2 linked regions of the Caenorhabditis elegans genome follow. The protein of the gene in region 1 purifies or fractionates together with the protein of each later gene. This does not show direct contact. Each region holds a gene or a part of one and is shown on either strand. Other genes may lie near its edges.

Region 1 (4,874 bases):
CTCATTTTCTTACATTTTCCTCGATTATTAATATAAATTTTTCGGTTTTCTGGCAAATGCATAGACGGGCGAAACAATTTTAAAAAAAACTTTAAATAATTTCATAATGGCCCTCTATTTTTTCTTCCTGAGAAAATTTAAAATCAAAAAAAAATGTTCAACAGGCCAAAGAATTTCTTTTCATATATATCATAATATTGTAGTATTAAAAAGAAGTAAGCAGATTTGTTACAGTTCAATAAATTTTGGGAATTTTCAATTTGAAAGAGATTCCCATCCTTTGGTGATTTCTCTCCGTCTCTTCTTCTCTAATAATCTTTTTTACTTCTTTCCACACAATTACTTTATGACTTTTCAAAGTTTGTGACTCTGACTTTCTCTCTTTGGAATGGTTTAGTTTTGGTTCATACCGTACTTTAGAAAACAATTTATAACCCACCGTGAAATCACTAAGTTCTCAATCAAAGTCATAGCTTTAAAAATGTTTTTTTAAAATTTAAATATTTTTTGAAATATGTAGTGAAAACATAGAAAATCCTTAGCTGATAATATGAAAAATTGACTCCCATTTAACCGAGCAAAATTAGCATTGAAAATGAGTACCGATTTTTTTTTTTGAAATATTTACAAAAAGCATCTAGCCACATCTAGCCGAAAAACTCAAATTTTTAACTTCATAGGTGGTATATATTTGTTTCCATCATATGCTTCTTAAAGGGCTGTAAAACAATAAAATATCAAGCTTTAAAAAAAATTGTTTTTTGGAATTTTTTTAATATGAATTTTGCAAAAAACATGAGCGTCTTGACAGTAGTTTTCAATAATAGCCGCTTCGCGATTAAATTTTTTTTCAGAACTTATATTTCACTACTTTTATTTTCTGGATGTTTAACTTTTTCTTTCACATTTATAAATTCAAAATTTAATTTAGTTTTAATAATAAATAGATCCAAGTAAAAACTACAGTACTCCTTAAAGACGGAGACTCTTTTTGCAACATATGCTTAACATTTTTCGGTCGTGTCGAGACCGTATAACCTGGCTTTACATGAAACTGTTTGCGTCTGGGTAATATTAAAAAAAAAATAAATCTCCATTTCTGTAAATTGTACTCGACGTTAATTTTTGATTTATTGTTGTTTTTGTAATGTTTATATTTTGGAATGAACTTAAATTTGACAGTTGTTAAATTTTCTGTATTTTTTCTATACTCAATAATTGTTTTTTTTTTCATAGTAAAATTTGTAATACTTCCAGACGTTATTATGAACATTTTGTACTGAATCTAGTTTTTAAAAACTGATTTTCTGTCAAGTTTCCAAAAAATACATTTCCATAATTTTAGGAATCACAGTTAAGGCCCTATAAAGTTTTCTAAATGTAAGAAATCATTTTAACTTCCAGATTCTTCCGAATTTCTGAAGTTTTAAATAGAGAAACCATAATACAGGTATTCTAGAACAAGTATCAAAAAGTGTTAGTCACAATTTTCATTCATTGATAGAAAAGAAGACATAGACCGTTATACAAAAACAAAACCATGCGGTTTTTGTTTGAATTATTATTATTATTTCTATACTTTTCAAAAAGTTTTTACCATTAGTTTCCAATTTCATGTGACTTCTATCATTGTTTCAGAGTTCACATTCTGATCATTTTCAGTACATTTTGGAAACTGATGATAAACTGGTTGAATTACGCAGTCGACGATTTATTATCAGTTATTATTTTTTCCCTCGTGCTGCAATATTCTATACTATAGTTTATTTTTTGCTAAATTAATTTTTTAAAAACTCTGGAAAAAATGGGCGGAAAAGCTCAATTTATCCGAGATTTTATTCTTAAAGGGGTAAGCTTTCATTTTTCAAATTTTTTATAAAATTACATTAATTTGATTAAAAAATTGGAGAACTCACAAAAAATCTGAGTATTTAAATTTAAACTGAAGCAGCTTCTCCCGGAAAATGTAACCGCACCGAAGCGGGCTAATTTTGATCTGAAATTTTACAGTGTAGTTTTTTAATTATTTTCAATCAAATAATTTAGGAGTTTTGTAGTAGACAGGCATTCTGGATTTTTTATTGGATTTTTTCAAAGACTGAAATAATTTTTTGTAGGAATCTATATCGTCTTTTTTTTTTAATAATACAGTTTCATTTGTAAATACAAAAATTCGATAAAATGTTTTCTGTCAGACATCAGTGATTATCTAACTATCCTTTCTATAATTCAAAACTGATTGATAAATATATATAATAGATAAAATCTAATATTTGATAATTTGAAACGTTGCGTGTGACTTTGCGGGCTTACCTTTCATTGGAATTGAACATTTTTCATTTACTCGGTATTCTCAATAGAAAAAACTATGATCGTATCTAGTAAAAGTTCATTTTAACTATCGAATATTTGAAAAATGTGGCGGAAAGATGCATTAAGACAGGTGAAGCTTTTGTATTTTGATTTTTTTTTTTTCATAACTGGCAATTTTTAACATGAAAACAAAATGATTTTTTAATCTCATTTTCAAAATACTTTTCTTTTAGTTTTTGATGTTCTTGAAACTTTAAAATTTGCCTTGCAGTTTTAGAAACACACTTCATCTTATTAAAATTAATTTAATTCTGCAAAACGCAAACCAGCTTTAGCTAAAACATTCTAAATGTTTTGAAGTCAGTTTCCTTTCAGAACCCTTTGATTTTTCTTGTGAAAAAATATTCAATAAAGTATTTTTCAGCCTGTGAGAAGAACTGTACCAATAGAACCCGTTGAGCCTTCGACAAGTGGTTCAATTGCATGGACTAGCTCAGAGTCAGGCTCCGCCCATTCTTCGCGTGTTTCGTCTTCTCCCATTACTCCACGTAAAAGTGCTGAAACAGAAGAGGTCAGTCTATTGACTTTTGAACTATCAGACCACGCCCATTTTCTATTATGTAGGCTTCAACTTTAGTCTTAGCATCCAGTGCATTCAAATGTATTCAAATTTCAAACAAAAGCCATCAAAAAGAAAAAAATTATTGCAACACACATTTGTATTGTCCAAGAGGATAATTGTAGACCCTTCCCACCTGCTTAGTAAGAGCACGCGGCTCAAGCTCCGCCCACTCTTGCTCGGCGGCGACAACGAGCCAGCAGAGCAATCGTCAGAGCAAAGAGCATCGGATTGGTGGTATCAAAAAGGAGGAGAAGCCGATTGAAATGGGAGGTGGATCAAGTGAAAATGGTGGAGCCAATGGATGCTCCAATGGTGATAATCATCATGTCCTTTTAGTGAGTTTTTGTTTTCTTTCTAATTATTTAAATTTCAGAAATTATGTAAGTTCTATAAAATTCCAACAGAGTGATTAAAAAAACTTATTAACTGACACTTTTCTTTGTTTTCAAATAGAAAAAGTTTTCAAAAATTTTGCAAAAGATTTGAAAAACTCAAAAACAGTTTAGAATCTCCTTTTTGCTTCAAGCATTTCAAATAGGCATATAGTAGGCAGGCACTTTTTCTGCCTACCTGCTAGTTGATTTTTTAGAATTATTTTCTATGAATCTTGGCACAAACTCTGAGACTTTCTTTTTTCAGTTATTTGTTAAAATTTCAGAAAAAAAAAATCAATGTGAGCCGGGAGTAGGCGCGAATTTAAGCCTTAAAAAAATTTCCAGTATCAAACTACATTTATTTGCATAAATTCGGGAGCTCATTAATCAAAAAAGTTCTTGAAAATTCACAAATGTCTCAAGTTATTCCAAATGACGTACATTGAATATTTATTTATTTTTAGATGGAAAAACAAGAGAAAATTGAACCAAAAGTGTTCAGGAAACGATGGGTGATTTTGGTGATATTCATGTTTTTGTCCGGTTCAAATGGAGCACAATGGATTCAATATTCAATTATTGCAAACATTATTTCAGATTATTATAAAGTTTCGTAAGTTTATATTTTTCAGTTAAAATTTATTCTCAAAGTGGAATTTGTAGGTTTCAAGCAGTTGATTGGACTTCAATGATTTATATGCTCACTTATATTTTATTCTTCATTCCAGCCGCGTAAGTTACTTTTTTGAAAAGTTTGACTCAAAAATAGGGGGAAAATATGATTTGACTACGCTTTTCTTTTTTACTACATTGAAAAAATACTGAAAAAGAATTTCTAAAAATGTTTTATAATTAGAAAAATCTTAGTCTAAAAATGGATTCATCTCAAAATATCGCAATTATCTTCTCTTACGACCGCTCTAGTCTCTAGCGAAAAAAGTTTCAGGCCTCTGGTCTTCCGCATATACATAACTCCCACTCAATTTTTGGGATTTTTCGCATAAGAAATTTTCACTTAGAACGCTTTTCTCAAAAGGTTTTTAAAAATTTGCAACAAAAAATTACAAAAAAAAAATGGTTCAGTTCGAGTGTGTTCTTTTTCGGGATCGGGGGACAAAAATTTCTCAAGTGAATTTTCAGAGAAACCATTGTTATTTGTTAATATAATTAATTAATTATTTGTTAATATAATCATTTGTTTCGTTAATACAAACCTGTTCAATTTTTCAATTTTTCTAGAGTTTTGGCTTAAATTTTCGCGATCAACACTTTTATACTGCGTTTCTTTGTTAGGCTTCAAGTGATCAAAATTTAACCAGAAAACCGTGGCGCCAGTCCATCGCTAGGCGTTCATAGTCATAGGCTATAAGGTCTAGACACCTACCGCTGACCTCATTGTTCTCTCATTTCCATCTCGGAAGTGGATGTGTGTCGAAACGCGCGAAACAACCACGAAAAATACAGTTAACATATGTAACTTTTTGTCTCTACATGTCTACCTAGTCTCTTCATTCTTTCATACTATTTTCTACTGATGGCCTGTATTTACACGTATGGAGAGACAG
Region 2 (4,366 bases), on another chromosome or scaffold:
TACTGCATTAGCTTGCTTGCATGATTTTGGAACATTTTCGCTAATTTTTTTACAATTTTAACATTCGAAATGGGCAATATACCCCTGCTTTGCACAGAAAGCAATAATTTAAAAAAAAATGAAATCCAATTCTCTGCCGGGAATAATACAAATGAGGGGTATATTGTCCATTTCGAATGTTAAACATCTAAAAACCTTGGCGAAATCGTAATTCACAGTTGTGCACGGGTAGTACACGACGGCCGATTTTTTTGCCCAATAATTCTAAATTTTCAGCTTTAATTTTGAATATTTTCAGACCCTCGCGAAGCACGTCATCGAAGTTCATGTGAATGCATCTGCTGCTAAAGAACGTGATATTGCAGGAGTCCCAAAAACAGCCACAACTGATTCAGATGGTGTGATGACAATGTTCGATACGGATGGTTTCTTGACTATCGAGTTCCTCAAGAAATTCGTCACATATGCTCGTTTGAACTGTGGACCACGTCTTACTCCGCAAGCTTCTGAGAAGCTCGTTAATCACTACGTTAAGATGAGAAATCCAGTTGTCAATGCTGATGCTTTTAGTAAGTTTAAAATATCATTTTGTAATGAAAACCCATAAATTTTCAGAATCAGGAAAGAAGGCTCATAATTCGGCAATTCCGATTACCGTTCGTCAACTCGAAGCCATTGTTCGTATTGCTGAAAGTATTGCAAAGATGGAGCTTCAGCAGTTTGCCACTGACAAGCACGTCGAGGAAGCGCTCCGTCTGTTCCGTGTTTCAACAATTGAAGCGGCGGCAACTGGAAATTTGGCAGGAGTCGAAGGATTTACTTCAACAGCTGATCAAGAAGCATTGAATCGTATCGAAGTGCAAATGAAGAAGAGATTCGCAATCGGTACACACGTTTCTGAGCATTTGATTGTTCAAGACTTTGTTGCTCGTCAACATTATAGAGAGTCTCTTGTCAAGAAGGTTATCGATAATTTGGTCCGTCGTGGAGACTTGCAACAAAAGATGCAACGCAAGATGCTCTACCGTGTTCGATAAATTCTCAAAATTTTGTCTTTTTTATCTGGATCTCTTTCTCATACTCAATTCTTAACATATTTTCTCATTCAATTTGATTTTAAACTGTTCTAAATTATTAAATGAACGTTTGCTTTTTCGAAGACCTTGAAAAATAATCAAATTCTAGTTTATGATCGTGTCAAGAAAACACATCAGAAGATTTTCACCGCTCGTTTGCTAAATGATGGCATGCCTGCTTAAAGGAATATTTTTCCAAAGTTCTTCTTGAATAATTTGATTTTTGGCAAATGCCCCAACAATGGTGAACTTACTCAAGAAAATTTACTGATTCACCAAATAAACAAACAAAAATCACTTTAAGCCGAGTGTGAGGTTGGTAGCAGTAACTGAAAATTGTGGAAACCTAACCTAAAGGTAGTCTTCGACATAAGTTTCATTTGGAAGTCCGGGATTAGGTTGAAATACTTCCCTTGTAGCTAAGTACGGTATTATTGCAGGAGTACTGTAGGATTTGCGTAGTTTCGGAAAATTTGAATTTGAAAAAATGTTGCTATTATTAGGTTAGGGTTGGTGGTACTGTAGGGTTACTGTAGTTTGGGAAATTTAAATTTTTAGCATTTAACATGGGCCGAGAGTTGAGATAATGGCGAGGGTTTTGTGGGATTGCCTGGGTAGTTTGGGATGCATTTTAGCTTTTGAAGCGGATTTGAATATTTGGTTAAGATTTTGTGAAGACATTGTCGAACGAATACAATTACAAACGACACTTTTTCATATTCAGGTTGAAATGGAAATTCATAAATATTTATAGCTAAATGTTTAAAAAATAGATAAAAATTATATTTTTTCAAAATAAGAAAAGGACACGTTTTTTTTCTAAAATGTCCAATTTCAAAAAAAACCAAAAATTGATTTATTTTCTATCAAAAATGACATCGGCGTCGTCGCAAGAGGAGGACGGAAGCGAAGAAGATGAACATTTTAAGTCGATATTATTAATAATCATGTTTGGCGCACAATTTGTTTGCTTCTTAATCGCATGGTTTTGGTTTTACCCGAGAGACGAACCACCAAACAATCAAATAATGCATAAGTTGGAAAAGGTATTCGAAGATTTTCTTTCAGGCTCGTAAAATTTAATGTGTTGTGTCTGTATACTACACAGAAATGAAAAAGTGTGCAACCACCGTTCGAATATAATTTTTAATTTCAGGACACTGCAAAATCTCGAATAGCTGGAGGCACAGTTCGTCCGATCAGCCGTCTCACTTCCCGAGAAATCCGCTTTTTAGCTCATCATGACACGTGTCATGAACGTGGCTTTGAGCTGACAGAAGACGATAAAAAGTTGTTGAAACTGGCAAAAGAAGGGGAAATCAATCATTTGAAGCATGTATCCAAGTTATTCGATGATCTGACAATGAATTGTGGCAGTATAATTGTTAAGCGAGGCGCTTCGATAGAAACTAATTTTAATAATGAGACTATGGAACAGGTATTCATGAATTTTCTGATTGTTTTGGGCAATTAAATTATTTTCAGTTCGACAATGATGAAACTGCTGGAATTGAATATTTGGTACCGTTGAAACGATCGAAGGAAGAAAAGGAAAAGAAAAAGAAGAGGAAGACGAAAGAAAGAATGGATGGTAAGTTACCATATATTTTAATTTGCGCGTGAAATTATGTGCATTGAGTGTTTGCACACAATTCATGTGCAGACACACCATATTTCAAGAGCAAGTTCAAAACACATATAATTGAAATATGGAGCATGTTTCGATGCACAATATTACGGGAACAAACAATATCTCGGAGCGAAAACTACAGTAATTCTATAAATGACTACTGTAGCGCTGTCGATTTACGGGCTCATTTTCGATGATTTATGATTTAATTCATTTTGAAATTCGAGCCACGAGAGTAAATCGACACAATAGCTACAGTAGTCATTTATAGAATTACTGTAGTATTCGCTCCGAGATATTTCGCGCGTCAAAAATGTTGCGCAGTACGCATTCTCAGAGTTTTGTGTTTCCGTAATACGCGAGTGTGCGATTTACGCGGAAATTTGGTTTAATTGAGGTTTGATTAAGAAATTTGAAATTCGAATTCCAGCCCTGGACGAACTGACACGTGTCACTTCAAACGATCGAATTCCTCTGTTGTCTCGAATAGTTCACCACAACCAACCATCACGAAAAACACTGAAGCCAGCCACATCAACAATCCGTGAACGAACACTTGAAACTCAGTCAACGATGGAAGATGATAAAACACAATTAAAAGTGATCAGAAAACCATCGTCTAGACCACACAAGAAGCCATCCACAATGGAGAGTGCTGTGAAAAAGAAGAAATCGGCGGCAACGTTAAGTAAGTTGGGTTGAAATTTGACGGGCTCCTCTTCATTCGTATTCATTTATATGAATAATTTTTTGCAGAAACTGTTCGTAAAACGACACGGGATGAGCTGTCACTTGCAACAACGCTCGAGGAAACAACACGAAGCAAGAAAAATCCGTTGTCAAAGGAACCCTGATTTAATAAAAATTATTTTAAAACATGTTTTACATTTGGGCCTGTTTAATACCTTGTAGCGTGACAAGCCTGTAAAATATGGCCGTACCGATAAATTGGCAATTAGTCTTTCCCGTCTCTATTAGTATCGAACTTTTTCTTTTAGATGCTCCGCACTATTATTAACTCCAAAATACTTCAAATTTCTTTGATTCTGCGAAATTTTCTAATTTTATTATTTATTAAGAAACCATGAGTTCTTGAGAATGTCTACTTTCTGGCGCAAAAATGGCGGCAGCAGAGAGAACATGCAGCGACGAGAGATTTAGGAGCCTTCGCTACGAGATATTCCCGCGCCAAAACGGTAGGCATTCTCATGATCTCACGGTTTCTTAATAACTGTGTTCCCATTGTTTGTATTCTAAAGTTCTTGGAGTTCAAAAACCTGCAGAAATACTCAAACTTTTGAAAAACGTTGATTGAAAATTTTGAAATAAAATATGGAGAAATAAAATAGAAATTTTAAAAAAACCAACAATTTTTACAGTGTTCAATTCTGAAAATTAGTTCTGCTGAACTATGATATAATAAGTGTACTGAATATTCATTTACAATACGCTTTTAAGTGGTACCTAGATATATTAAGCTGCCGCAGTTACATAAAGTCTCATGTCAATCTTCTACGAAAATCAGAAAGTTTACAAACAATTGTTCTTATCATTATCACTGTTATCATTTTGTCCACGTTTTCCCATTCACTCTTACTCTCTTTTCCCACCAAAAATTGCAACATTTACCCAAGTCACTGACCTATTCCCTCTCTCTTCC

What was found.
Region 2: the proteins of C09D4.1 (region 1) and R10E4.3 fractionate together in Caenorhabditis elegans (co-fractionation; one large-scale study listed by BioGRID). This does not show direct contact.

What each region holds. Positions count from the first base shown.
Region 1 is NC_003279.8:5,496,113-5,500,986, forward strand, and holds the start of C09D4.1 (putative MFS-type transporter C09D4.1), read left to right. Parts: upstream 1-1,566; 5' UTR 1,567-1,804; coding exon 1,805-1,849; intron 1,850-2,737; coding exon 2,738-2,884; intron 2,885-3,057; coding exon 3,058-3,270; intron 3,271-3,773; coding exon 3,774-3,922; intron 3,923-3,972; coding exon 3,973-4,041; intron 4,042-4,874.
Region 2 is NC_003281.10:4,285,055-4,289,420, reverse strand, and holds R10E4.3 (uncharacterized protein), read left to right. Parts: upstream 1-1,941; 5' UTR 1,942-1,948; coding exon 1,949-2,122; intron 2,123-2,232; coding exon 2,233-2,514; intron 2,515-2,561; coding exon 2,562-2,667; intron 2,668-3,136; coding exon 3,137-3,394; intron 3,395-3,462; coding exon 3,463-3,560; 3' UTR 3,561-3,580; downstream 3,581-4,366. Other genes in the region: DNA replication licensing factor mcm-5, read left to right, coding at 299-569, 616-1,037.